Linked DNA regions of Tribolium castaneum. The protein of the gene in region 3 purifies or fractionates together with the protein of the main gene of each other region. This does not show direct contact. Links are inferred from orthologs where the notes say so. Each region holds a gene or a part of one and is shown on either strand. Other genes may lie near its edges. The genes, in order: ecd, Neurochondrin, 116 kDa U5 small nuclear ribonucleoprotein component, RIOK1, splicing factor 3B subunit 4, rept and RNA-binding protein cabeza.

Region 1 (4,244 bases), on a different chromosome or scaffold from region 3:
AAGTATTAAATATATTCTTTTAATTTTCATAACAAGCAGCTAAATCTAAAATACATATGCGGCTGTACAGAACGAAAAAAAGAAATGTGTCATAGTTGCAAAAACAACGTAACGTTAACACAAAATATTTTTCATATTTCTGAGGTAATATTAAGCATGTAATCAAATCGTTCGTGTTCTGTACAGCTTAACGTGTGAATCTCGTACACTGTATACATCAATAGTGAAAAGACAATGGCAGTAAACCTCCTTATTGGCACGCGCTACAAAAATTAACAGTAAATCAATAAATCGCGCTTAAATAATCATCTCAATCATCGTTATTACTGACATCCAAGTGCACCCCCATCGGCCCTAACATATTACTCGACGGTCCCGCCTCCCCCAACTGCGACTTATAACTCTCCAGAATATTCTTCAACGCATTCACGTCAATATCAACAGGTTTAAAACTCTCAATATCCTCAAACCCGTCCCCGTTCTTCTTCTCGAAACTTTCCCCGATTGTGGTCGCCGCCAGTTCCTTATCCATCTGTTCCATATACTCCTGCATTTTATTTTTAACCCCTTCGTACATCTCCTCATTCCCGGCAACATCGTCGGCGTAATCGCTCATATCAGACCCAGAATCCAAATCCCAACTGTCATCTTCCGGAATGACAAAATTCAGGATGTTCTGAACGGCGCAAGAAAACGCATTCGGATCAAAACTAACTCTATTATTAGCTGTTGTCTCGGTTTTTGTGCCACTTGCGAACGAAACTTTGGTGCGTTTTTTCACGCCTCTAGGGGGCCGAGTTGGGGAATTGTCCAGGTCTGGGTGCTCAACTCCGTCAATATCTGACACGTGGTTTAAGAACGAGGAGATTTTTTCAGTGAAAGAGGCGGCGTCTGAGTTGTTGTTCACTGTAACGAATTTCTTTTGCCCGTATTTTTCTTCTAACATTTTATCCAACTCTTCCGGGCTGACGTTAAGCCACGAATCGTCATCGTCAGGCAAATTACTTTCCTCCTTCAATTCATCGATCTTAAAATCCAAATTTTTGATCAACTGGACAATTTCTTGCCCAATGGCTGGAGAATAGTGCATAGAGTCTCGGTGATTGATGTAGTACTCTTTCGCTTTGTTTAATAAATCGTTGTATTCTCTTGAATGCTCCAACAACCCCCGAAAATAATTTTTCTCTTTCAGTTTCTCAAAATAATTAACCCACCCTTTATCCTGTTCAATGTCCTGGCTTGGTTTGGCTTGCGCGGCTAAAATCTCAAACCCACAGGCGATTTTAACGCCTAAATTCTGCGCTTTAAACTGTGGGCTGTCGCTTTTAGGCAAGTTCCAGCCGGTTCTGCGATCCGGAACGTATTTACTGTGAGTTAGCATTGCGTATAAACATTTAGTAAATGTCACTCTGGCATTTACGCGGTTTTCGGGCGGAAAATATTTCATGGCTTTGCAGGTTTTGGCGTCAACTGGGTCTCGATTACAAAAGACTTGGACGGCGGGGGCTATAAGCCCGGGTTTGTGGCGCAAAATTGCAGCGACACCTACTGGTAGGTAGGCAGTGGCATGGTGAAGACTGGACTGGATTTTGTCAGGGTAGTCTTTTAATTTGTTGATTATACAGTTTTGGATGTCTGATGAGGCTAAAGTGTCGATCGGATTGTTTTGGATTGTTGAGACGGCCTCATTGACCGCCATTTGGGCCATTTCTGGGAGGTGATCCGAGGTGTCTAGAGGGATGATATGAATGTTGCCTTGGTAAATGTATACCTGGAGAAAAACCAGATCCAAGTCAGTTTTGCTTCAGTTATTACAGAAATGTATAAATAATTATAAATGCTTAACTAATAAATTATTACTTAAGTGAATTTTAATGTAGAAGTACTATCTTATAGAGCTGCAATTTTGTTGCAATTTTTTCACATGTTGGTACAGCTTCGTTCATTGACTTGTGTTGCATTCGTTAAATTATTTTTTTGATGGTAACATTTTAAGCCTTCTTTTTCACATCTGAATGCTAGATTATAAACACTATTTTAAAACACTCTTACCATAGCAACGTTTTTTAATTAAAATTTCCAACAAAAAAATCAATTATCACTTTATTCTAATTTGAATTAGAAAAAAGACAAGCACAGATAATGAGAAACCTTACCCTATTTTCGCAGTTGTTAGGGTCTGCCCATAAAGGTAAGTAATCAGCTGCTTCAATTAAAATAAATTCGCCATCAGCGTCGTGCACACGAGCTATTAAACCATCAATTTCCTTAGTTAGGAGACGTAAAAGGAACACAATAAACCACTCGTCCTCTATATTGTCTCCAAAATGAGTTACGCCATATAAATGTGGTGGTAAATACTCTGCAAAACAATTGATCTCGAATTAGGTGATTCAAAAAATTGTTACATTGTGATTTATACAGATTTACTTTAAACAAAGCATTTGCTGGTTTATAACCTCAAAAAATGTAAAAGCACTTTTTTAATGTGAAGTCATAAAATACGACCATTACCTGTTTTTTCACTATCATGAATCAGTGAATTACTAATCCACGTTCTCACAGTTAATTTAAATTCGTCTTTATGCCATAAATACTCATCGGTGTACCTTTTTACGATTTTTTCACACTGATTTAAAACTCTGGTTAACGCAAGTTCTTGTTCTTTGTCGTCCTGGGAATCAATAGGTGGAAAAAGATGATATTCAACAAAATCATCTTCACGAACGGACTCAAGAACGTTAACTTTACTTGCCATTGTTGTTTTAAAAGTAATCAATTAAAAAATTTGAATGACATTTGACACACCATTGGTGCCAATAAAACAAAACTCCCCAAACTATTCAAAAACACCCGCTCCTCTCACCAAAATAAAACAAAATTAGATGCTGAAGTGCTTTTATTTAATATAAGTACCAACTCATATAAACTTAACACTAATAAATCACTTTGATGGTCTAAACCACTTAGGGACTTTTTCCGTTGATTTTATTACTTTCCTCTCGTAACTGGTTGGTTGTGTACTTGGCCCAGCAGCATTTGCTTCAGTCAGTGTATCCATAGACTCATCCTGGCCCATTTCTTCACTCGGAGATTCGGGTCTTGTTCCCTTTTGCCGCAACTGTGACGCCGCTAAACTTGCTTTTGAGTTTGTTGTAAATTTATCCCTCAATTCCGCCTTCAAGCACACAGAACTCCCATCACCATTTGCTCCTAAATGCAACAAAGCCCCCGGCACGCAACCAATTTCCACTAGTTTTGATTCGTCCGAGAGAACATTTTTAGGCGGCGTTGTATCTGTAACAATATTTAAACATGTGATCAAAGTAGTTTCTGACTAGAGTCAAAGGTCACTTGACTGAAGTAGAACAATACTTACAAAGATGAAAATCACTGTTTGGATCTTCTAGGAAAGAAGTGACGAAATCTTTAATATCTTTAACAGTTTCGCTGGGCTTGAAGCTCCCTTGAAGGATGGACCTGTCTGGGAACTGGACGCGTATTACTGACTGTTTATATTTACGCAGTTGGCGTAATTGCTTCTTTGATTCTTCTAAATTGCGCATTGCAGAGGTCATGAGATTAGCGTTGTCCATTTCGTTTCGCTTTCTTCTAATATCGCCCAGAATTTTCTTAGCATCATCAATTGTGAGCTCAAAAAAATCGTCTGGTAGGTCTTCAGCTGGTAAAGAACGCGCCGATTCGAGAGAAAATAACATTGCCTTGCGCTCGCCCAACTGAAAATTTCAAATACAAAATAAAATAATAAAAATAAAATGCTACATACAAAAACAAAATCGTCCTCAAGCTGACTAGATGATGGGTTGGTAACTGGCTCTTTTGGGTAATTTGCGATGTTTTCTGGCAAATCAACATCCATTTTTTCGTCGTCAGACTCAACTTTGGGTTTAGTTTTAGGCGAATGCGTTTCCGTTTCCGGAGTTTTGGAAGGGCTGCTCAATTTTCGTTTTTCCCGTGCTAGTTTCAATAAATCAACCTCAGTTTTCTTTTGTAAAGGCTTCACATCGGTAGTTTTAGAATATTCAGCTTCAGTCTTTAAAGTGCGATGAAAGGGCTTCTCCTCTACCGGTTTCGTAGGCAGAGGAGCAGAGACATTTGCTTGGACTTTTAGTTCGTCAGGCCTTCGATACATTAACCGCATCATCGCCCTACCACCTCTTAGGCCCAAGCTTCGCAAAGTGGCTTTTTGCAAATTGTCGCCGTAAATTTCATTTCGCATATAA
Region 2 (2,222 bases), on a different chromosome or scaffold from region 3:
GCATATAAAAAAGAAGATATTACACAAGATCTTTTAAATTTAATAATAGTACTGGTGATTACCGTACGCGGAATACAATCAAAAACATTAAAAAAATTGCTCAACAGCAAACTGTATGTGCCAAGATAAAAGATTCTGCAACAACTGAACTACCAAATATTTATTTATTCCGCTTTATTGTAACAAATTTTCGCCAACTGCTGCTTACCTGCATACTTGTTGTACTGATCCCCCAGCGCCTGAGCCCAAAGCAGCCTCCTCCACGCATCCAAACTCATCGATAAATTCTCGGGGCATTTCCTGAAAGCCTTCAAAAAGGCTTTCGAGGCATTCGTTGCAAAATCAGTTGGAACGTCCCATTTCTCCCACAGAATTTGCGCTAGCTACAAAAAACGACACAGATACCCCTTATTAATACCTGCCATGACTATGCGTAAATTATTTTAGATACATCTATCGTTGCCAAAATCCACCTACACATCCCGAAATAAAACCACGTCTCGTCGACAAATACATTTATTTAAATATAATACAAAATCGATTACTTCGTATAAAAATCATCAGCGCCAAAAATAAAACAAAAAATGCATTAAAAGCACAAACGCACAGGTTTAATCCCCGAACAACTTCTTTCCTAATTCCATCAGTCTGTGATTCCGGCAAACCCTCAAAGCTTCAGCTTTCTTCAAAACATCGGTAACACTCTCGTTGGCGTCGACTAAGTGGCAGAGGAAATCTTCATAAGCTGATTTAACGTTTGGTGGGAGAGTCCCGATTTTGACTTTCTTCAATGTCTGGACGATGCCTTCGGCCCAACCGCTTTCAATCGCAAATTCAGAAATCCAGGGGATTTGGGCGATGACGCCTGACATGGTTTGCATTCCCAAAAACCAGAGTTCCATAAGCTCCATCCAGTGTTCTTTGTACGCCATTGACACAACCAAAGCGGTTGGGTCATTTGACTCATCAATGATGTACGCATCCCATAAAAACCTAATAGTCGCCTGGATGTAACGACAGATCGAAAAATCATTCTTCTTCACTTTATTCGAGAGCTGCTTCAGCAACAAAAGCCCCAACACGGCCAAATTCCCGTGAAGAACGAGATTCTCGGGAATATCCTTCAACTCCGGCAAATTCTCAAAAATAAATTTAAGCAAATCGTTGAAAACATCACTCTCTTCGACGTATTTCGTTTCCAGCACAGTCAGATTCATCAATACGTTACAGGCGCTGATCATGGCAGTCCTGGAGTCTTGCATTTCGGCCAAAAGTTCGGGCGATAGTTCCTGTTTTGGTTGATTTAGAACTTTCAGACGTTCGGATCGTGGAACCGGTGGACGTTTATAATGAACGATGCTCCAGTGAAACTGCACCAAGTCGAAGAGAACTTTATCTTCATGGTGTTTCAAGATAATGGCACGTGCTGCATCCTCCACGGCCAAATGGCAAAGACCTGGCAGAAGAATTCGCAAAATATCCACAGAATTGGCAGGGTTTGTTTCACTTTCAATCCCTGCTTTCTCGGCAACTCTTTTCGCCTTATGCGCATTGAAACTTTCATTGGCGATTTCGAGAATGAACGGTAGGAGTTGGTAGACCTGGATGCGTAACGCGGAGGTTTCTTGAGCCAACCAAGCTGCCAGAACTCTGATGGTAGCATAAACAAACCATTTTTCATCGCCAGAAGGTTTATTCTTATCAGCGGCCACTTTTAACAGTAGGTTTATAATAGCAGTGAATGCTCCCTTCAAACCGGTATAAAGTGTCTGCTTCTCCTTCTGATCCAAGTCCAACTGATCCGTCGAAATATAATTAATTGACAATTCTAGAATAATGTAACAAGCCGTTACAAGATTCCTTTGGGCGGTTGCAGCTTTGAGACTTTTGCCATCAAGTTGCATTCGGACCTCAATTGCTGCCAACTGTATCAAGAGTAAGAAAAACTGTTTAGGTTTCTCCTCATCGGACATAGCCCACTCGACTCCCAAAGCATCCAAAACACTCGATGCCAAAATTAAAGCCGGATTGCGTTGCTGTGGTCCAATTTTACTCTGCAGTATATCAGTGAGGCCCTTATAGAGACTCATAGGCCAGGTTTCCTTATCTGCACTGTTCACAATCTTCTTCGGACAATTAAAAATCAAGGCGTTAAGCACTTGGCATAACTCGAATTTTCGTTTATCGTGGTCTGTTTCGAAATCGACTGCGATTTTATTAAG
Region 3 (3,500 bases):
GCTCCACGGCGATTTTAATGATGCTTTGGGTGTTGAATTTAAGGGGGCGGAAAATGTACAAGTCCTCGTAGATTGTGAGGTCTGTGATTGTGGCTGTTTTAACGATTGATTGGTCGATGCCCTCGATTAGGACCCAATTGCCGGCAGGGACGCGGTTTAGCTCGATTTTGTATCTGGAATTTTGATTAAATAATGCGGTATTTTTAGAATTTTTGAAAGTCAAGACGTAGTAAACAACTCGTTATCATTAATTCATTAGTCGAGGTCATGGAACTTATCTCTAGATGAACGGCCTTGGGGCTAAACGAGATTTTACAACTCGTTGGTTACCTCATTTATTGCGGTTGAGACGCGCAAAAAAATTGCTCCTGGGTTTATTAACGAATCTGATAAGGGCTTAATTGTTTTTTGTTGTTATTTTTGGAGGGGGGGCGAATGGTAAACATTACGACGGTTATGTTATATTATGAGTGTTATGACAAGCAGATGCTTATCAATTAATTAGAAAAATAGTAATTTAGTTAAAGACAGGACGTAGTAATTTTTTGTTTTAAATTTTAACAAGTTCCATTTTATTCCGGACAAACGAACTTATTTATGTTTCTTATGTAACGTCATTCCAGAAACTTAAATATGTATTCCCAGTATTTTCATGTAAGGCTCTAAAGCGTATAGTTTTCGAGTCACACATTTCTTAAATAAATCTAAAAATTGGAAAAATAAAAATCTACCCAATAGACAAAATATTTTGAACTAAACGCCCATATGTAAACTGCCCCGAGAAGTAAATTGAAGTTAAAAAATCGGAAAACTTCAGTTAATTTAGAAATTATCGACATCAGCTAAAAAAATTACAGACCATTAGAGCAATTCTCAATAGTTAAAGGTAAAAGTTGTGAAAAAATACAGAAAATCAAACAAAGAAAGAAACAAGCGTTTTTTTAAATTTAATCTAGTTATCCATGACAGTTACGCCAACAGTGAAACGTATTCGGAGATAAAATTAACTAGACGCCCTCTGGTGATGACTTTTGAACTATGTCGAAAACAGTAAAGAAATTTTCGTAATGCCACATTTAACTGACATTTAATGAATTGTTCAACAATTTTGCGTGTATAGTGTTAATTACTTACAATAGAAAGAATCACTTTAAAAGTACGTGGTGGTAAATACTAGCGTTGACTTTGGTTCTGTAGTTTTTCGTGGTATAAAGTGTTTATTGTTGGAACTTGAAAGTGGATAAAAAGTGAAAAATATTTAAATTTTGATTACAAAGTGTTATCAAACAGTTGTCTAATTAAAGATTATAAGTAATGGATCACAGCGAACACAAAGTTTGGCTCAAGAAACCAATAAATTAGTGAAGTGTGTGAATTTTAGGTTAGAATTTTCCACTGAAAAAATCATGAAATGCTGCGGTAAATCTACAAAACTACAATAAAGATTAACAACTGCTGATACATTTAAACGTAAATTATGCCAAAAGGTAGGCTTTTCAATGTCTTTGTAATAATTTTCCAATAAAGAAAGTGAACCAAACAGTCATTCGTTATTCGTGTTTTCCTCGTCATCTCTCATTTATCAACATAAGTTTCTTGCATCAAAGATGCAATAATCATTCCGCATAGGCAATGTAATAATTGTGAAGCCCCAAAATTCGTACAACGCTCAAAATATCCGAATAAACATTTTCCCTCCATTTATGGTTACTGTTTTCGACCTAGTTCAGTGGCGCCCCCAACGGTAATTTTACTTCCGAATTGCGTAAATAATTTCAGCATCGCTTTATCTGTCAATATGTCCAAAATATTCACCGAAGAACATAAAAAAAATATGTTGGAAACTTATTTCCGTAATGTACATCGAGTTAAAGTAACTGTCATGGATAACTAGATCAAAATTTTAGAAAATCGCATGATGTTTTAACCTCATGGTAAAATAAATAAATGAATAAATAAATAAATGGTAAAAGACACAATAAAATATAAGGGACAAAGTATACAATTATGTTCAACCGTATCGGTTTAAATTGCTTTAAAAACACAAAATCACAGGCACCACAGCACACAATTAAAGATAAAAATACCGAGAACTTTTTGTAGGAAATTTTTCATGGATTTTTAACGATATTCGCAGCATTTTGAAAAATATCACACAGCGCAAAATTGAAATTTTTAATAGAAATATATTTTTCTCATATTTGTTGTTCGATTTTCGTCAGTTTATTAAGAATATTTGTGCTTTTATTCCACGATTAATAAATTAGTTAAATGTAAATTGATTTAAAATAATTTGGAGCTGTGTTAATTTTTTGGGTATTTTATATCTCGTTTCGCCTCATAAAATTGTAGACTTAATTATGACTCACCCAGTATTGTAATTTTACGAGTTTTCCATTATATTCGCACCTATACAATTCATTAAAAATTAAAATCAAAAATGATTTTACGAGCATTTTAACGCATTTTTCATGCAGAAATGCAATTAATTACTCGTATTATCAACCATTTCAGGAATAATGACACCGAAATTTTCAAAATTATCGTAGTAATGTTAAGTTTCGATTAAGAATTCGGTTTATATTTAATGTATTTTGTGACAAGAGTTTTTTTTTTGTTGTGGATTTAAAATGGGAAAGGATAATCATTTAAATTGAAGTAATTCAGTGAATTCTAAAATTTACAAAAAAAATGGTTACATTAAAATGTGGACCTTTGGTCCAAATATATGTAATTTAAATTTTGTTTGAATTGATTAATAAATAAAAAAGTTACGAGGGGGTGCACTTTTCGGTGGGACACCCTGTACATTGTCTTGTAGACGGGAACATAAAATACTGACGTACTACAAGTGTTGAACATCTTTTGAAGAGTATTTTTCTAGTTTCTGGTAGAAAATTGAAATCGGTAAGTAAATTGATTAGTAATATTATTTTTATATCTTCGTAATTTTTGCTGTCCCGTCCGTTATTGTGGTTCTTATTTCTTACGTCGTTAACCAAGACCAAAAATTTTTAATTTCTGTCTAATTTTGATAATGTTAGTCTTTAATAATTAAAAAACCTGGCTGAATATTTTTTTAGAGATATTTTCACACACAAGATTTTTTTGTCCCGTCCGTTATGTGAAACAAAAATAAATTGCAAACAGTTTAACTGGTACTACCAGCTGTTTCAAAACGACAGAAATGTCAACAACGCATTTTACCGAATTATTTTTTTAAATAAAATTGATAAAAATGAAAAATAAAATTAAAACTCTAATGTTTAATGAACTATTAGCCCTAAATAAAATAAATAAAATTTAGAAACCTCACGTTGTAAAACCGTTTAATATCAAAAAAATGAGAACATTACAATTTTAAAAAACAAGAAAATCGTAATTTCATATCTTTGAAAACTCTAGGTTTTATAATTATAAACCCCATCTCTTTATTCATCGAACGTATCTTCAAAAGCATTGACAAATAAGGAAGTTGTATTTCTGTTTATGCAAGAGTC
Region 4 (3,494 bases), on a different chromosome or scaffold from region 3:
CCTACACATTCAAACCCTGAGGATGAGCTAAATGACCATTTCCCGCACTTGCTAATGATACACAACAAAGCACAAATGGACGATTTCTCGCCCAGGAAATTCAAAACCATTCAAGAAATTTACAATTTATTGTTTGAAAAAACCAAGCTTCAGAAGGACTCAAATTTGGGGCTGGCTGACGATAATTCCGGCGAACTTTTCAACGTGTTTCTCATCCCGGAATACAATCCCAAATATGGTAATTATTTTTTTTTGTTTAACGAGCAAAATGTTTGCCAAATCGAGTGAGCGCATCTTAAATACTCGATTTATTGCAGATAACATCTACAATGGACACCCGCCTTTGGAAGACCTTGTAAAAAAATTAAGGGCCAATATTTTAGGCGCGATTAAAACGCCCTTAACTCACGTTCAACTGACTGAAAAAACGTGGCTTGTGTACTGTTCAAAAGTATGGGAAAATGTAAAAAAGAGTTCGTTTTTTATCGAATACACTAAACTAATGCCATGAAATAATTTATTTCTTTGAAACCTTCTCTTTCCGTTTTTTGACATGTTTTTTGATTTTTGTTGTCCTTTTGGCAGCTTGTGCCTCTTTGACTGCTTTTTTCCGCGCTTTTTTCTCATCGAGTGTTTCATGTTTGGGTCTTGAAGAGTCAACAAAATTACTACCAGTGTCTTCTTCACTTTCTGAATTTTCTTCAGATGATTCTTTTTCATCCAAAATCTCGGGATGTTGCACAGTTCCACTCAAATCGGCCTTTAAACCGACCAAAGTTTTGTAAACTAAATCGTCAGCTAAACCCGATTTAACTCGAGTTATGTCTCGCTCGAAATCAATCACTTCAGTCAGGCGTTTAGGGATGTAAGCCTGCTTAAACACCTCTTCCTCCACCTGTAATGGAACACCAAAAAAATTTCGTTACTACTAACAAAAAAATACGACAGCATTTTTTTTTTCTAAACTCACTCTGGCAAAGTTTTATGGAATTTTTTGTACTTGTAATTGAGAAAATAATTTTACCTGTTCCTCTGACGTGACTTCGGTGTGTTGAGCCGCTTTCTCAGCCAACGCCTCAAGACACTCCTCCATATTCCCCTCATTTATCGTCGGATCAGTGATAAAATGAAACAAATCCTTGATACCCATAGTCGCAACTTCCTTCTTTTTGAAAAAATCTGTGATATTTGTACAATCCTTCCGCAAAAACTCCAACGCGTGAGGATGGTCATGTTCTACAGATTGTGACACATCGATAACGAAAATTTCGCCATTCAAATAAAGCATGTTGAACTCGGACAAGTCGGCATGTACTAATTTACACTTATTGTACATTTTCCACATGATTATAACCACGTCTCTGTAGATTTCACGCGCTTTTGACTGACTTAAATCCACGTCTTTTAATTTCGGAGCAGGCCAACCCTCTCGACCAATAAACCCCATTAGTAAGACATGCGAACGCAGCAAAATGGGTTCAGGGACATTCAAACCGTTCGAATGCATGCGAATTAAATTCCTCATTTCTTTTTCGGCCCACGTTCGTACCATTTTTCGCGGATTATGTCGACAATAACCGTGTCTGAATCTAAACTCGCCACTAACGTATTTATCGCGATCTTTGAAAACGAGAATCGAGGTCTTGTAAATTTTAATCGCAACCTGGCCCTTATCACTCGTTGCGTGATAAACATTTGCCTCTTTTCCCGTTGAAATACAACCGTTTATTTCGGAAATTACGTTCCGGTTTAATAATTTAAATAAAATCATTCGGGTTCGTGGATCCATGACTTGTTCAGCGGTGGCACGGTCGTGTTTGTCCTTGTGCCGTATTTTCTCATTTTCTTGCCGTTTTTCATTGGCTATGAGCAAATTTGTGGCATGAGGGGGCAAAGCCCGGTCATACGCCTCAACGTTGATTTTGTTGGTGTATTTTTTGAATAAACTGTCGGGGGGTTGGTACGAACTGACTTTTTTTGACGACACTTGGGGGTTCCTCTGGTTTTTGCCCGAAATTGAGTAAAAATCGTCATCTTCACTTTCGTAACTATCTTCATCAAGGGTCAAATTCTCGGTTACGGGGGCCAGAATATCGTCTTCAGCGTCCCGAAAAAGCTCGTCTTCACTCAAAAAATCGTCCGGTGTGGTCATAATTACACAAATAAACGTGCAAAAACTCTGAGGTTATATTGAATTGTCACACGTGTGAACTCGAGTGGCCTTCAGCCCGAACTAATTTCCGTGTTATTGCACAACTTGACCCAATTTATCCCAGCAGTTGGTCAAAAATTTGCAAAAAAATATCCAAAACTCTAGTAAAAACCTAACACTTTGCCCAAAAATCGTAAAAAACGATTCGGTCGTGTACACAATCGGTCGCAATGTCGGGGAACCTAACCCCTCTGAATATTAAGTTTGTGTTTTTCGCGTAATAATGACCGAGAAATCGTTCGACAAGCTCCAGTTGAACCCTTGGATCATTCGCCAGTGCGCCACTATAGGTATGAGCCCCCTTTTGCTTCGTAAATTAATTTTGGGGTACAGGTGTGCGCAGCCCTACACCCATCCAGACCAACTGTATTCCCCCAATTCTCGCCGGTAGGGACTGTATCGGGGCTGCTAAAACCGGCAGTGGCAAAACCCTAGCATTTGCCTTGCCCATTCTCCAGAAATTATGCGAGGATCCTTACGGTATTTTCGCTCTTATTTTAACCCCCACACGAGAACTGGCGTTTCAAATCGCTGATCAGTTTGCAGTCATTGGCAAAGTGATGAATTTGCGCCATTGTGTCATTGTGGGGGGTATGGATATGGTGGTTCAGGGCAAAGACTTAGCCCGAAAACCCCACATTGTGGTGGCAACGCCTGGCCGCTTAGCTGACCATTTAGAAAGTTGCAACACGTTTAATTTTAATAAATTGAGGTTTTTGGTGCTTGATGAGGCCGATCGTTTGTTAGGGGGGCACTTTGACGAACAAATCAAAACGATTTTTCAAGCATTGCCTAAGGAGCGCCAAAATTTATTTTTCTCAGCCACGATCACCGATACTTTAGAAAAACTGAAAGATGTGACAGGGAAAGATGTTTTTTTCTATGAAGCCCCGGCTGAAGTAGCAACTGTTGAACAATTGGAACAAAACTATGTATTGTGCCCCAAAGATGTGAAAGACGCTTATTTGGTTGAGACAATTAGGACGTATCGTGCTACAAATGACGGAAATATCCTTATTTTCACTAACACTTGCAAGTAAAATAATTGGTCTAGAGTTTGAAATTAAGTTGGCAATACTATTTTTGCCAACTTGATTTCGTAGTCGTAGACTAAGTAGGATTTATTGTAGGAATTGTCAAGTGTTGTCAATGACTTTAAATGAGGTCGGTTTTGAAAATGTGGCCCTTCATGCCATGATGAAACAACAACAGAGATTAGCAGCTTTGGCTAAATTTAAATCAAACACAATTAAAATTCTTCTAGCCACTGATGTTGCAAGTA
Region 5 (2,353 bases), on a different chromosome or scaffold from region 3:
AATGTCAGTTTGACAAATTCGTGACACTTGACGGTGTTGTCGAAGTGCACATGTAAATCAATGTTCAAGGATACCACCCTTAGATAGCCCTTAACTGTTTAAATTTGCATTGTTTTTGATAATTTTTTTATAGCTTTGTGTTGGTAATGAAAAAATGAAATTGATGACGCACACGCAAATCGAGCTGACCGCCACTATACCTAACTAGGCAGAAAAATATCGATAATTTCTTATTTCTTTTTCTTTCTTTTCTTTTTTCTCGTTAATTTTTGTAGTGCGCTTTCACTTTTGCACCAAGCAATGGGCCACTCTGAATTATTAATGTTATTATTGTTATTTAAATATTGAAAACAAAAGTTTTTGTCTACTATATTTTGTAAAAGTATTTGGAAACGATAGGAACAAAACAAAATAACTAAGTTAAGTGTGAAATGTATTATTTTCTTGTAAATTTACATTTTTAAAAAATTTAAAAATTTAAAAATAATTATTAATCGTTTTGTTAGGAAACGATTACTTACTGTGAAACATAAAAACATTAAAAAATAATGAAAAGTAAAGAAGTTAAATACAATAAGTTTGTAGCTCTAGATTTTTTAAAATATGACTTTAGGAATTTTTTCAACATTTTTCCCGTAATCTACACTTGCTTCTCAATAACGTACCACTGAGTTGGTGCGCCAGTTTTTGAGGACCCTGTATAACCGAATTTCAAGATCTCAAATTTTTTCGTTGTCCGCTTCGCATGAAAAGCCCCAATTGTTAAATCAGGTGTAAGTGCCTTGTATTGCTTTATGCGACAGATTTAGGGATTCTCATGTATTGAAAAAAATTACCTATACGAGCATTCTTCCTTCAAAATTTATTTATTTATTTTTATTTATAATTTTGCTAATCTCTGTATGTTATTTATCAGTTGAGTTATTTGTCTCACTCCATTTGGTAAAATTAAACGTTCAGCTTCTCCACATACCAATCTATTTTTTTTTTCAAACGTTTTTTTTATATTTTTTAATATTGTAGATAATGAGAGACCCCGACACTGGCAATTCCAAAGGCTTCGCTTTCATCAACTTTGCAAGTTTCGAAGCATCTGACGCCTCAATCGAAGCAATGAACGGCCAATACCTCTGCAACCGCCCCATTTCCGTCTCCTACGCCTTCAAGAAAGACTCCAAAGGCGAACGTCACGGCTCCGCAGCCGAGCGTCTCCTCGCAGCCCAAAACCCCCTCTCCCAAGCCGACCGCCCCCATCAACTATTCGCCGACGCCCCTCCCATGGGCATGATGCCCCCAGGAATGACTCTCGCTCCGCCCCCACCTCCCGTAATCCTCGCTGGAATGATGCCTCCACCACCCCCCACTCCGGCAAGTATGCAACCTCCTCCACCCCCACCAGTTCCTCCACCCAGTTCTTTCCCCTCGGGGATCCCCCCTCCGCCATTACCTCCCTCCCAACCGCCCTTGCCACCAGGTGCACCTCCACCGCCTCCAACCTCCGCCGCTGGAGCACGGCCCCCTCTGCCACCAATGCCTGCCTCAACGCAAGCTTCAGGCGCCCCCAGGATGATACCACCTCCGTGGCAAGGTGGAGGTGGGTTACCGCCACCACCACCTGGACCGCCAAACTCGGCAGCGCCCCCAACGTCAGGTGCACCGCCGTTCCCGGGATGTTTCCCGCCGCCACCGCCTCCAGGGGGGCGGCCCCCGAATTGGAGGCCGCCGGTTAATTTTGGTGGAGGGAGACCACCGTTCCCACCAAGGGGACCTCCACCACCACCTCCGAATAATTTTAGCGAAAATAATTGGTAAAAACAATAATACAATAAAGTCAAGGTGAATTTTTTTATTTCGTTTTGTGTCTTGTTTTTTGGATTTTCCTATTATTATCCTTTTTATTATTGTCACTATTTCCAGTAAATGGTATTGTGGTACCAGGGGCTTGATATCCTAATTCCTCAAAACTTAATGTTTCTAGTGAAAGTAGAATATGTATCATTGGCAATTTTCGTTTAACAACTATTTGGTCTAAATCAGGAATAACTGGATCCCAAAATTCTTCTACTCTGCAAAATTGTAAAATATGATGCAATTTCTGATCCAAGTCGTCTTAGGCTGAAATTAAGTTGGTGACACTCTTAGTGGCGTTTGCCATGCAATGTCACCAACTTATTTTAAGTCATGTCAGCGGAAATTTTTAATTGAAAACAAACTTACACCCTATAACACAGTTTCGTTATTTGGTGTAACTGATTATTGTGTTCCCGTTTCATAATTTCAGCACATGTTACAGTTTTACCAACAGATTGTCCAAATCCTGTCCACACAACGGCTTTAGCACTTGGAAATTCAT
Region 6 (3,995 bases), about 5.1 Mb from region 3:
CAAAAAATAAGTTGACTGTCATATCACTAGTTTAAATAAAATATTTCTATTGACTATGGTAAAAATAATTCTTCTTCGGGAACCCTCGCAAACACTTCGTTAATATTCTGCGACCACACTGTTGCCATCACTTGCTCAATGGCGGCGCCAAAGTCGGCATAAACAGTTAGGGAATTTTCGTTGATTGTTTTCATGATTTGTTGGCTCAGCTGTTCGTTACCGTTGATTATGTTATCATAGGAAAAAATCACTTTTTTCGGGTTGAATTTAAACACGTGCTCGGTCATTCTCAAGTGAGTCTTGCCTTTTTTGGTGTACCTTTCACATTTGAAGTGATTGGCGCCTTCAACATCCCCTAAAAAAAGAATTAGGCACGAGGCGAAGCCGAGTGCTTCACTCACAGAACGTGTTATTACACTTCCCTTCACCGTTTAGTGTGAAAATGAGCAACTTTCCGTTGATTTTGTAATCGGCTTCCATACGCACGACGGGAGTCAAGCTATCGTAGCTCCAATAACAACTCCCTTGCGTAAAATTAACCCTAAAATTTTTTTTCAATTTTTTTTTTTTTTTTGTTAATTTTATTGTTACTTCGAATTTTTGATCGTAGCCGAGGTGATGCCGTGAATTTTCACATTTTTGTAAACTTGCTGGAGCGTGTCCTTGGACGCTTGGCCCAAGGTCACCTCCGGTATAAGCAGTGGCTCCAACTGACTAATCCCCAAATCCCTGTTCCCCATGGCCAACTTACGCACATCTTCCATAACATATTTATCCAAACACTGGTTTAAATTAGGATCCGATTTGCGACATTTGATAATTTCGGGCGCTTAATTAATTAATTAATTAATTAAAATCAATGGTTAATTCAATTAAACGACTTACGCAAAGTTTTGGCAAAAGTTGAGCCAAAAACAAGCACCACAAGTAAAATCGCACTCATTATTCTACGGAATCAAGTCGAAAACTATTATTAAAAATGAGTTAGTGAAAAGTATTTGTAGTGTCGAAAAGTTGAAAACCTTGTAATTCGTACATAATTTTCCTAATTGCAACAATAGGCAATTAGGGAGCGGAAATTTTGTGCTAATGTGGCACAAATGAGGCAAAAACGCCCGTAATTATTGGTTTAACATTGTTTTAAACTGTTTGAATGGAAATTGGCGCCGGTTTTCGGCACGTTGGCAGCACTTTGTTTGAAGGGCCCAGTGTTTGATCAATTATTTCAATTAATTAATTCAAAGTTTGGGTTAATTGTGGCAGTGCTATGGCTGTAAGTATTAACAAAACAATCATTTATTAATGAAAAAAGCCCACAAAAAACAATTTTTAATACAGAAGTTACACAGTTGGTATTACAAAAATTTCAAGTTTGGGACGTTTTTGTCACATAAAACTTTTTTCCCGACGAATTATTTAATTTAATTATGTGTTTCGAGTAAAATTAATATAATAATTATGCTTAATTAATTAAATTACGAAGTGGGTACACTTTTTCTGGTGATTTTCGCAGTTACGTTGGTACCGCGTCCCTCCATTGTTTTTGCATTTCCTTTAAAATTGTGCATAAAAACGCAAAAAAGCCGCAAAAACCACAACCCCAATGGCTGTAAGTACCCCATTCTCCCTTATCTCGTTAAAAACACCCTTTTGCTGATAACATTATCGCATTTGTGTCGTTTTTGCGGCGTTTGCTGACCCTAACCCCACTTTCGCAGAGCGCCGCCGCTGCAAAAATCGCCGAAGTGCGTGAAACCACGCGCGTGGAGCGCATTGGGGCCCACTCCCACATCCGGGGGCTGGGTCTGGATGAGAGTCTCGAGGCCCGGCATGTCTCGCAAGGGATGGTGGGGCAGGTGTCTGCCAGGAGGGCTATCGGGATTGTCTTGAAGATGGTGAGGGAGGGGCGGATTGCTGGTCGGGCCGTGCTTTTGGCGGGGCAACCGGGGACGGGGAAAACGGCCATTGCGACGGCTCTGGCCGCCGCCCTGGGGCAGGACACCCCCTTTACGAGCATGGCAGGCTCGGAGATTTACTCGCTGGAGATGAGCAAGACGGAGGCGCTGACGCAGGCGATTAGGAAGAGTATCGGGGTGCGGATCAAGTAAGTGCTGGAATACCGGGTGACTGTGATGAATTGTATGGGGGAATTATTTGGCAATACTGCGCTTGTTTTATGAATTAAGAGTTCAGATTTATCACAAAACTGACGACAAGATCCGTTTTATTTATTTATTTATTTATTTAACGAAAAATTTTTTTCTACAAAATATATAAATTACAAAACCACAAAAAATAAAATTATTTAACAATAAATGATTAATATCAAGAATCATTTAGCCTTAACAGCGAATGTATAAAGTGCTAATGGCTTTTCAGTAGTCACCCGGTATAAAAATGTCAAAAAAAATTGAAATACTATAGTCGGTGTATTGTTGGTTGCCTATATACTAACTTCTGAAACTTTGAATTTATAGTTTTTATTGATTTAGAAATCTGTTAAAAAATATTTTTTTTTCTAATTTAGTCGTTTGTTAAGCTTAAAAAATTTTTCCCCGTGTTTTTTTTTCGGGAACAAAGATTTACAAGAAAAAAAACAAAACAGTGTGTCTCGGAATTTATTTTGCAAAATTTAGTGATGAATTCTCTAATTTTTCAATATTCAATATTCAATATTGAGGGTTATTTTAATAAAAAAATATTTTCGAAATGGAAAGAATCTACTTTTTCTATTTCGTTGATTTTCTACAACGGATTTTTTTTACTTTTGTGTGCTTCTTATTCTGTTTTTTTTTGCTTTCTTTTCATTTTTTTTGCTTTCTCTTGATTTTTTTTATTTTTTTAATTTGTTACAAGAGGTTTTTTTTCTTTTTTGTGTTATTTCTTTTTTCGTTTATTTTATTATTGATGTTTTTCACTCTCCCGTAATTCTTTGGACTTGAACCATATTTTTTAAGTAATTTTATTTTTTTGGTTTTGCGACGATTTTAATTTTTTGTTATACTAATTTTGTTTTTTTATAATATATGTTGGTAATTTAATTTTATAGTTCATTTTCAAATATAAATATGAAAACGTTTAATAAACTAGCAGGTTTGACAATAAATTACACCCGACAAGATTAGAAAAGATGGTTATTTACTTTGAAAAAAAATATATAAAATTAAAGAAAAAACTAAATTTATTTTTATGTTTAACAGTTTAACTGAAAGTTTTTTATTAGTGGTCCGTCACTTTTGGGATCGCTATATTATGTTTTGTTTTACCAGTTTTTTTTTAATTTTTTAATTTTATTTTGTCTTTTTTAATTTATTCATGGAGAAAAAAAAATTAAAAGCTTGAAAAAAATGGGCATTTGCTTTTTTAACTTATTTTTTTGGTTCACATTTATGTTTTATTTTCCACTTTTATTTAACACATTTTCTCTTTATTTTCTATACATTTTTTTGTTATTTGTTAATTAGGTTTTTGTGTCTACATATTATTTTTTCGTATTTTGGTTTTCGTTATTTCGTATCGATTTATGTATTAAATTCTTGGATTTTTTTATATTTTATTTCTTGTTTCTTGTAGGCGTTTCCTAATTTCACTTATTTTTGATTTATTTTATCAAATTTATTTTCCAAATTATTTTCGTTTTTCAATGTTTATTTTATTTTTTTAGTCTGTCTTTGTTGATTTATTCGTGGAAATTGGGAATAATTAAAAAATCGAAAAAATTACCGTTTATTCATAATGTTAAAGTAACGTTATGAACTTTAAGAGTTAAAGCGACTTCAACTTTATGAATAAACAATAAAAGTGTAAAAAAAATTCAATTTTTCAGTTATTTTCAATCTCCACAAACAGAGGGAATAAGAAAATTTTATAATTTTTTTATTTTGTTCTTTCTTTTGTAATAATTTGACCTCACTTTTGAATTTTGTTAACTTAATTTTTTGGTTCACATTTATCTTTTATTTCGCCTTTTCTCTTTCCTAAGAGTTTGCAACGAT
Region 7 (4,193 bases), on a different chromosome or scaffold from region 3:
ATATACCCAATAGAACCTTTTTATTTAATACCAATGAATATAAAAGGAAAAACTTTATTATCCTTTTACCTTTAATATATATATATTAAAATCATAGTACCTCATAAAACCATTCGTAACTTTTTGAAATCCCGATGTATAACAGGGTGATTAAAAAATGAAGGATTAACTCTTACAGGGTGATAAAAGACGTTCAGTTAAGCATAATAATCAATTTTTTTTGCAACCGTATTAATTCTTAGTATTTCTTTTTCCTTAGCAACCGTATTAATTCTTGCGCATTTCTTTCCCATATTGTTGAATTCATTCTTAAATTTGGTAAATTATAAATGTTTTATACGTATTATAGGTAGAGAATTTTTTCAATAATTATCTAATTTTATAAAATCTCTCGAGAGATTTAAGATTACTTCATCTTAACCCAAAGATATAACTTTGTAAAAAGCTATATCTAGTGAAGAAAAAAAGGATCACAATTTTTTTTGTCATAGGAACTTTTAGCTTAGTTGGATGTATTCATCACCATCTAAACGATATATAGTCGGAGACTTTTGAATCACCCTGTACACGAGAAAAATACTATTATGTATTCTTTTACCTTTACTCTATCAATAAAAAACAATGTACTCAATAAGACCTTTCTTTTTCAAACGCCAATGAAAATAGAAGGAGATACTAAATATAAATCTTAAAACCACCTATAAAACTAATCCAAAAACTAGATTTAATCAAATGGACCAAAGATTTTCTTTGAGAACATCTAAAGGTTACTGACAAAACATTAATTACTCAAATTTTTAAAATTTGCGAAAAAGAAAATAATAAAGTATCAATGTTAACAACCATATCTAATAAAAAAATAATAATAATAATAATAATAAGAAATATTAGAATCGCAACTGACGTTTAAAATTCTTTATAAAAACTTGACCAATCGAAACCCAAAGATTTTCTAATAAACATTTTCTGTAATGATTTTGTAAGTTACTCCAATGCTTTATATTTTTGTATAAATGTACAAAAAATTGCAAATACGAAAGAAGTTACCTAATCAGCAAAGAGGAAACAATGAAATGTTGCAACACTTTTCGAAGATAAACAACTTGTCAATTATAGCAACGCACCCTAACATTCGCAGGTGAATAGTGGAAGAGCTGTTTACGTATGATTATTTAGTATTCACATTATAATCGCGGGTCTAAGTTTTGAAACAAGTCCAATAATGGAACACCAAATAATCAAAATGTGTGGGAAATTATAAAACGTAAATAAAAATAATGCAGCTCTTCCAAAAACCAATAAAAATACCAATTAAAAAGTGTACAAAAATGCACTGGTCACAGTGACTCAGTGCTTTTACCTTTGTTATAACCACCCCTGTTGCCGCCTCTAAAACAGAAGTAAAACATCAGTAGTTGTCGAGAGAATGGAGGGGGGTGAAAAACACACACTTCACCAACCATTTTGTTGGCATACACATTGTCTTCATCCACGAAGATCACCTATTTCTAGTTGTTGTCACGTCTATGTACGATGTTTACCTTATTTTTAAACTCTCAAAGATTTTATTATACACCTCAATAACATAACAACCATTTAATTGTAGTAACAACCAACTCAACCTTTAAGGACCGTACCAAAAATAAATACCTCAGGAAAAACCACCTGTTATAATTTAACTCAAGTTTTAACGGCCATTTTCGGCCACCAACAACAAACACAGACGTGTGTATTACAACAAAATACTTACACTATTTAAACTCTGTAAGCAAACTGATATTAATACAGTTTCAACGATTCTTTGACAATAAATACCCATTCATTCATTTTTTATCATTTTACTACCTCCCATCCAAAGTGTAATACCAACAAAGTAAAAGAACAAAAACCGATAACTTACCCATAAGAATCACGTCGATCTAGAGGCCTTTTGTCAAAATCGCCACGGTCTCGGCCTCCTAAACCAAAAATAATTAATTACAAACAACACACAAAACTATGAATGTACCTCCATAGCCGCCACCACCGCCGCCGCCATAACCGCCACTATTGCCGTAGCCACCGCCTCCGCCAGAGTTGTAACCACCTCCTTGGTTATAACCGCCGCCGCCACCTGGAACAATTGACGGTAGTATAGCAAAAAAACAAAACAATTCTTTCAAAAGTAATGTATAGGCGAATGTCTACCCCTTCTCATATCAAGATAAGAAGGGACTATCAATTCCCTAATTATTCTGCGACATAGTAGGAGGTTTCAAGTTTATTAAACAAACTCAAACCATGCCTATGTCGCCCCACATCACTGTTTCTTACCTTGACCGCCGCCATAGCCGCCGCCAGACGAGCGTCCTTGATTCCAAGATCCGCCGCCGCCGCCGGCACCTCCACCTCCCCCGCCCGGGGGGTTGAAACCGCCGGTCGGCGGTGCCCCGTACGTATTGGGATACGCAGTACTGGGGGGCGGTTGGGAATAGTCGGCGTACGATCCTGCAAAAGTGGTTTGTACATAAATTACCCAAATAACGAAAAATCGATAATAATGAAATTAGAGCAAGCCGACGTGAAAAATGCGAACTACCACAACTTCGTAATGTGTTAAGTAGTCGAAATTTGAATACACGAGGTGATTTCGTACAGGGATGAGCGAGATTTTTTAAAAATCGGGATACTTACGATCGCCCATCTTCTACCGTTGGGATAATCGAACAAACAGGAGGAAAATGGATGCGAGGGAAAAGACGCTACGGATTGGGGGCTTGTGATTGGTCGGCGCTAACAGCCCTGCCAACCCCACCAAAAAAACACACTAAATAAAGCACGCCAAAATATTAAATTTTCCACAAACAACCTTGTTTTATATTCTCAGTTCCACTTGAATACCGTCGAGGTACTTAAAAACAACATTTGTGATGGATATAAATTGTAATAATAAGTTTGTATGAAACACAGCTGGAGAACTTGTTGTGGCAGCACTGAAAACCTTATCAGAGTTCAGGGTCGGCCTAAGGGCATTTGTAGGCCCTCAAATTTATTATTTTTTGATAATCATGAATTTAATTAATCTAGTGGTGCTAGCTTTGCTAAAACGACCAGTAAAAACTTAATAAAAATAACAGTCTGTTTATTTTCAAAAATAATAAACAATAAATAATAATAGATCTTAAACCTAGGGTAAGTTGGAATTATTCACAATCCAAAGATCTTCACGAATTTGAGTGTTGGCTGGGCGTTAGGCCCCCACTGTGTTCAGGACTGTGTTTCTGCTTTTTTCTCTTCTTTTCCTTTTTCCTCTTCTTCCGTTCTTTATCTTCGTCGTGTCGTTTCTGTTTTTTATGCTTCTTCTCGTGTGTATCACTTCCAGCATCGGTAATGGTAGTCTCCTGACTTGGAAGCCCCCCATCTTTGTGTTTGTGTTTTTTGTGTTTATTTTTATGCTTTTTCATAGGCGCCGCATTTGCGTAGCGGTATTGTTCAGGGAGCTAAAATCCAATACTCAACAAAACACATTAAAGGGAAATTATCAAGCTTACCGCCCCAGGGTGTAGTCTAAACCCATCCAGTTGGATGCTAGTCAATGGTAACAACTCCTTGCCCCCAATTGGAGGCTTCTCAATCACTGATCTTAGCGAACTGTTATCATGCTGTCCAGGAGAGTCAATAACGCCAGGCAAAGTTGGCAAAAACGAAGATAACTGTTCCTTGAGTTTTTTCCCACTGAATTTGCTGTAAGAGTGCTCAAGGCCATAATAGGCCATCAAATTCGTCGCTCCTGTTAGTTCCGACTCTCCTACAACCACCGTCCGCGTGATTTAAACGACTTCAAGCCTTGTCTTGCTTACCTGGAGGCTCTTTCATCAAATAGAAAGGTCCACTAGGGACAATTGAAGGGTTCTTTCCTAACAAAATTGTCGTTTTTAATGTTCCTGACGAATCCTGACGTGAAACGACAGGGGAACGAGCCCCTCTAGGCGAAGATTTGGGCGAATATTGTTCCACTTTACGAAACTGATCGCCCATCATCTTACAACTTCATCGTTTTGCAACAACGATGCAGCTGGAAATGGGAAATGTCACTTCAGCATCACGTACCAACACAAAATCGTCAAACAAACAAACAAATCAATTGTTACCCTGGTAATTTTCACGGTCTGGCGTTTGGAACCCTGCTAGTTTGGTAACTTTAGGTTTAGTTT

The links.
Region 1: the proteins of 116 kDa U5 small nuclear ribonucleoprotein component (region 3) and ecd purify together in Homo sapiens (affinity purification with mass spectrometry; 5 studies listed by BioGRID and IntAct, with this or other methods). This does not show direct contact. The link is inferred for Tribolium castaneum from reciprocal best matches to the Homo sapiens genes EFTUD2 and ECD.
Region 2: the proteins of 116 kDa U5 small nuclear ribonucleoprotein component (region 3) and Neurochondrin purify together in Homo sapiens (affinity purification with mass spectrometry; 4 studies listed by BioGRID and IntAct, with this or other methods). This does not show direct contact. The link is inferred for Tribolium castaneum from reciprocal best matches to the Homo sapiens genes EFTUD2 and NCDN.
Region 4: the proteins of 116 kDa U5 small nuclear ribonucleoprotein component (region 3) and RIOK1 purify together in Homo sapiens (affinity purification with mass spectrometry; 3 studies listed by BioGRID). This does not show direct contact. The link is inferred for Tribolium castaneum from reciprocal best matches to the Homo sapiens genes EFTUD2 and RIOK1.
Region 5: the proteins of 116 kDa U5 small nuclear ribonucleoprotein component (region 3) and splicing factor 3B subunit 4 purify together in Homo sapiens (affinity purification with mass spectrometry; 3 studies listed by BioGRID and IntAct, with this or other methods). This does not show direct contact. The link is inferred for Tribolium castaneum from reciprocal best matches to the Homo sapiens genes EFTUD2 and SF3B4.
Region 6: the proteins of 116 kDa U5 small nuclear ribonucleoprotein component (region 3) and rept purify together in Homo sapiens (affinity purification with mass spectrometry; 5 studies listed by BioGRID and IntAct, with this or other methods). This does not show direct contact. The link is inferred for Tribolium castaneum from reciprocal best matches to the Homo sapiens genes EFTUD2 and RUVBL2.
Region 7: the proteins of 116 kDa U5 small nuclear ribonucleoprotein component (region 3) and RNA-binding protein cabeza purify together in Homo sapiens (affinity purification with mass spectrometry; 3 studies listed by BioGRID and IntAct, with this or other methods). This does not show direct contact. The link is inferred for Tribolium castaneum from reciprocal best matches to the Homo sapiens genes EFTUD2 and FUS.

The regions. Positions count from the first base shown.
Region 1 is NC_087394.1:35,465,463-35,469,706, forward strand, and holds the start of ecd (protein ecdysoneless), read right to left. Parts: upstream 2,801-4,244; 5' UTR 2,759-2,800; coding exon 2,515-2,758; intron 2,363-2,514; coding exon 2,157-2,362; intron 1,772-2,156; coding exon 311-1,771; 3' UTR 1-310. Other genes in the region: tether containing UBX domain for GLUT4, read right to left, coding at 2,945-3,297, 3,380-3,737, 3,788-4,244. UniProt on the Homo sapiens protein: Regulator of p53/TP53 stability and function. Inhibits MDM2-mediated degradation of p53/TP53 possibly by cooperating in part with TXNIP. May be involved transcriptional regulation. In vitro has intrinsic transactivation activity enhanced by EP300.
Region 2 is NC_087396.1:14,824,231-14,826,452, forward strand, and holds the end of Neurochondrin (neurochondrin homolog), read right to left. Parts: coding exon 612-2,222; 3' UTR 501-611; downstream 1-500. Other genes in the region: N-acylneuraminate-9-phosphatase, read right to left, coding at 209-383. UniProt on the Homo sapiens protein: Probably involved in signal transduction in the nervous system, via increasing cell surface localization of GRM5/mGluR5 and positively regulating its signaling. Required for the spatial learning process.
Region 3 is NC_087401.1:10,807,705-10,811,204, reverse strand, and holds part of 116 kDa U5 small nuclear ribonucleoprotein component, read right to left. Parts: intron 174-3,500; coding exon 1-173. UniProt on the Homo sapiens protein: Required for pre-mRNA splicing as component of the spliceosome, including pre-catalytic, catalytic and post-catalytic spliceosomal complexes. Component of the U5 snRNP and the U4/U6-U5 tri-snRNP complex, a building block of the spliceosome.
Region 4 is NC_087402.1:315,187-318,680, forward strand, and holds RIOK1 (serine/threonine-protein kinase RIO1), read right to left. Parts: upstream 2,153-3,494; coding exon 1,025-2,152; intron 896-1,024; coding exon 518-895; 3' UTR 512-517; downstream 1-511. Other genes in the region: nonsense-mediated mRNA decay factor SMG9, read left to right, coding at 1-238, 318-511; Dbp45A (probable ATP-dependent RNA helicase DDX49), read left to right, coding at 2,436-2,502, 2,546-3,248, 3,343-3,494. UniProt on the Homo sapiens protein: Involved in the final steps of cytoplasmic maturation of the 40S ribosomal subunit. Involved in processing of 18S-E pre-rRNA to the mature 18S rRNA. Required for the recycling of NOB1 and PNO1 from the late 40S precursor.
Region 5 is NC_087395.1:2,320,617-2,322,969, forward strand, and holds the end of splicing factor 3B subunit 4, read left to right. Parts: intron 1-1,023; coding exon 1,024-1,812; 3' UTR 1,813-1,853; downstream 1,854-2,353. UniProt on the Homo sapiens protein: Component of the 17S U2 SnRNP complex of the spliceosome, a large ribonucleoprotein complex that removes introns from transcribed pre-mRNAs.
Region 6 is NC_087401.1:15,890,373-15,894,367, forward strand, and holds the start of rept (ruvB-like 2), read left to right. Parts: upstream 1-1,195; 5' UTR 1,196-1,267; coding exon 1,268-1,273; intron 1,274-1,450; exon of another isoform or gene 1,451-1,603; coding exon of another isoform or gene 1,604-1,609; intron 1,610-1,718; coding exon 1,719-2,104; intron 2,105-3,995. Other genes in the region: uncharacterized protein LOC663271, read right to left, coding at 54-355, 402-541, 592-829, 886-943. UniProt on the Homo sapiens protein: Possesses single-stranded DNA-stimulated ATPase and ATP-dependent DNA helicase (5' to 3') activity; hexamerization is thought to be critical for ATP hydrolysis and adjacent subunits in the ring-like structure contribute to the ATPase activity.
Region 7 is NC_087395.1:19,588,953-19,593,145, forward strand, and holds the start of RNA-binding protein cabeza, read right to left. Parts: upstream 2,801-4,193; 5' UTR 2,684-2,800; coding exon 2,674-2,683; intron 2,488-2,673; coding exon 2,314-2,487; intron 2,305-2,313; exon of another isoform or gene 2,226-2,304; intron 2,114-2,225; coding exon 2,009-2,113; intron 1,959-2,008; coding exon 1,901-1,958; intron 1,390-1,900; coding exon 1,361-1,389; intron 1-1,360. Other genes in the region: MED19 (mediator of RNA polymerase II transcription subunit 19), read right to left, coding at 3,204-3,479, 3,531-3,787, 3,840-4,020. UniProt on the Homo sapiens protein: DNA/RNA-binding protein that plays a role in various cellular processes such as transcription regulation, RNA splicing, RNA transport, DNA repair and damage response. Binds to ssRNA containing the consensus sequence 5'-AGGUAA-3'.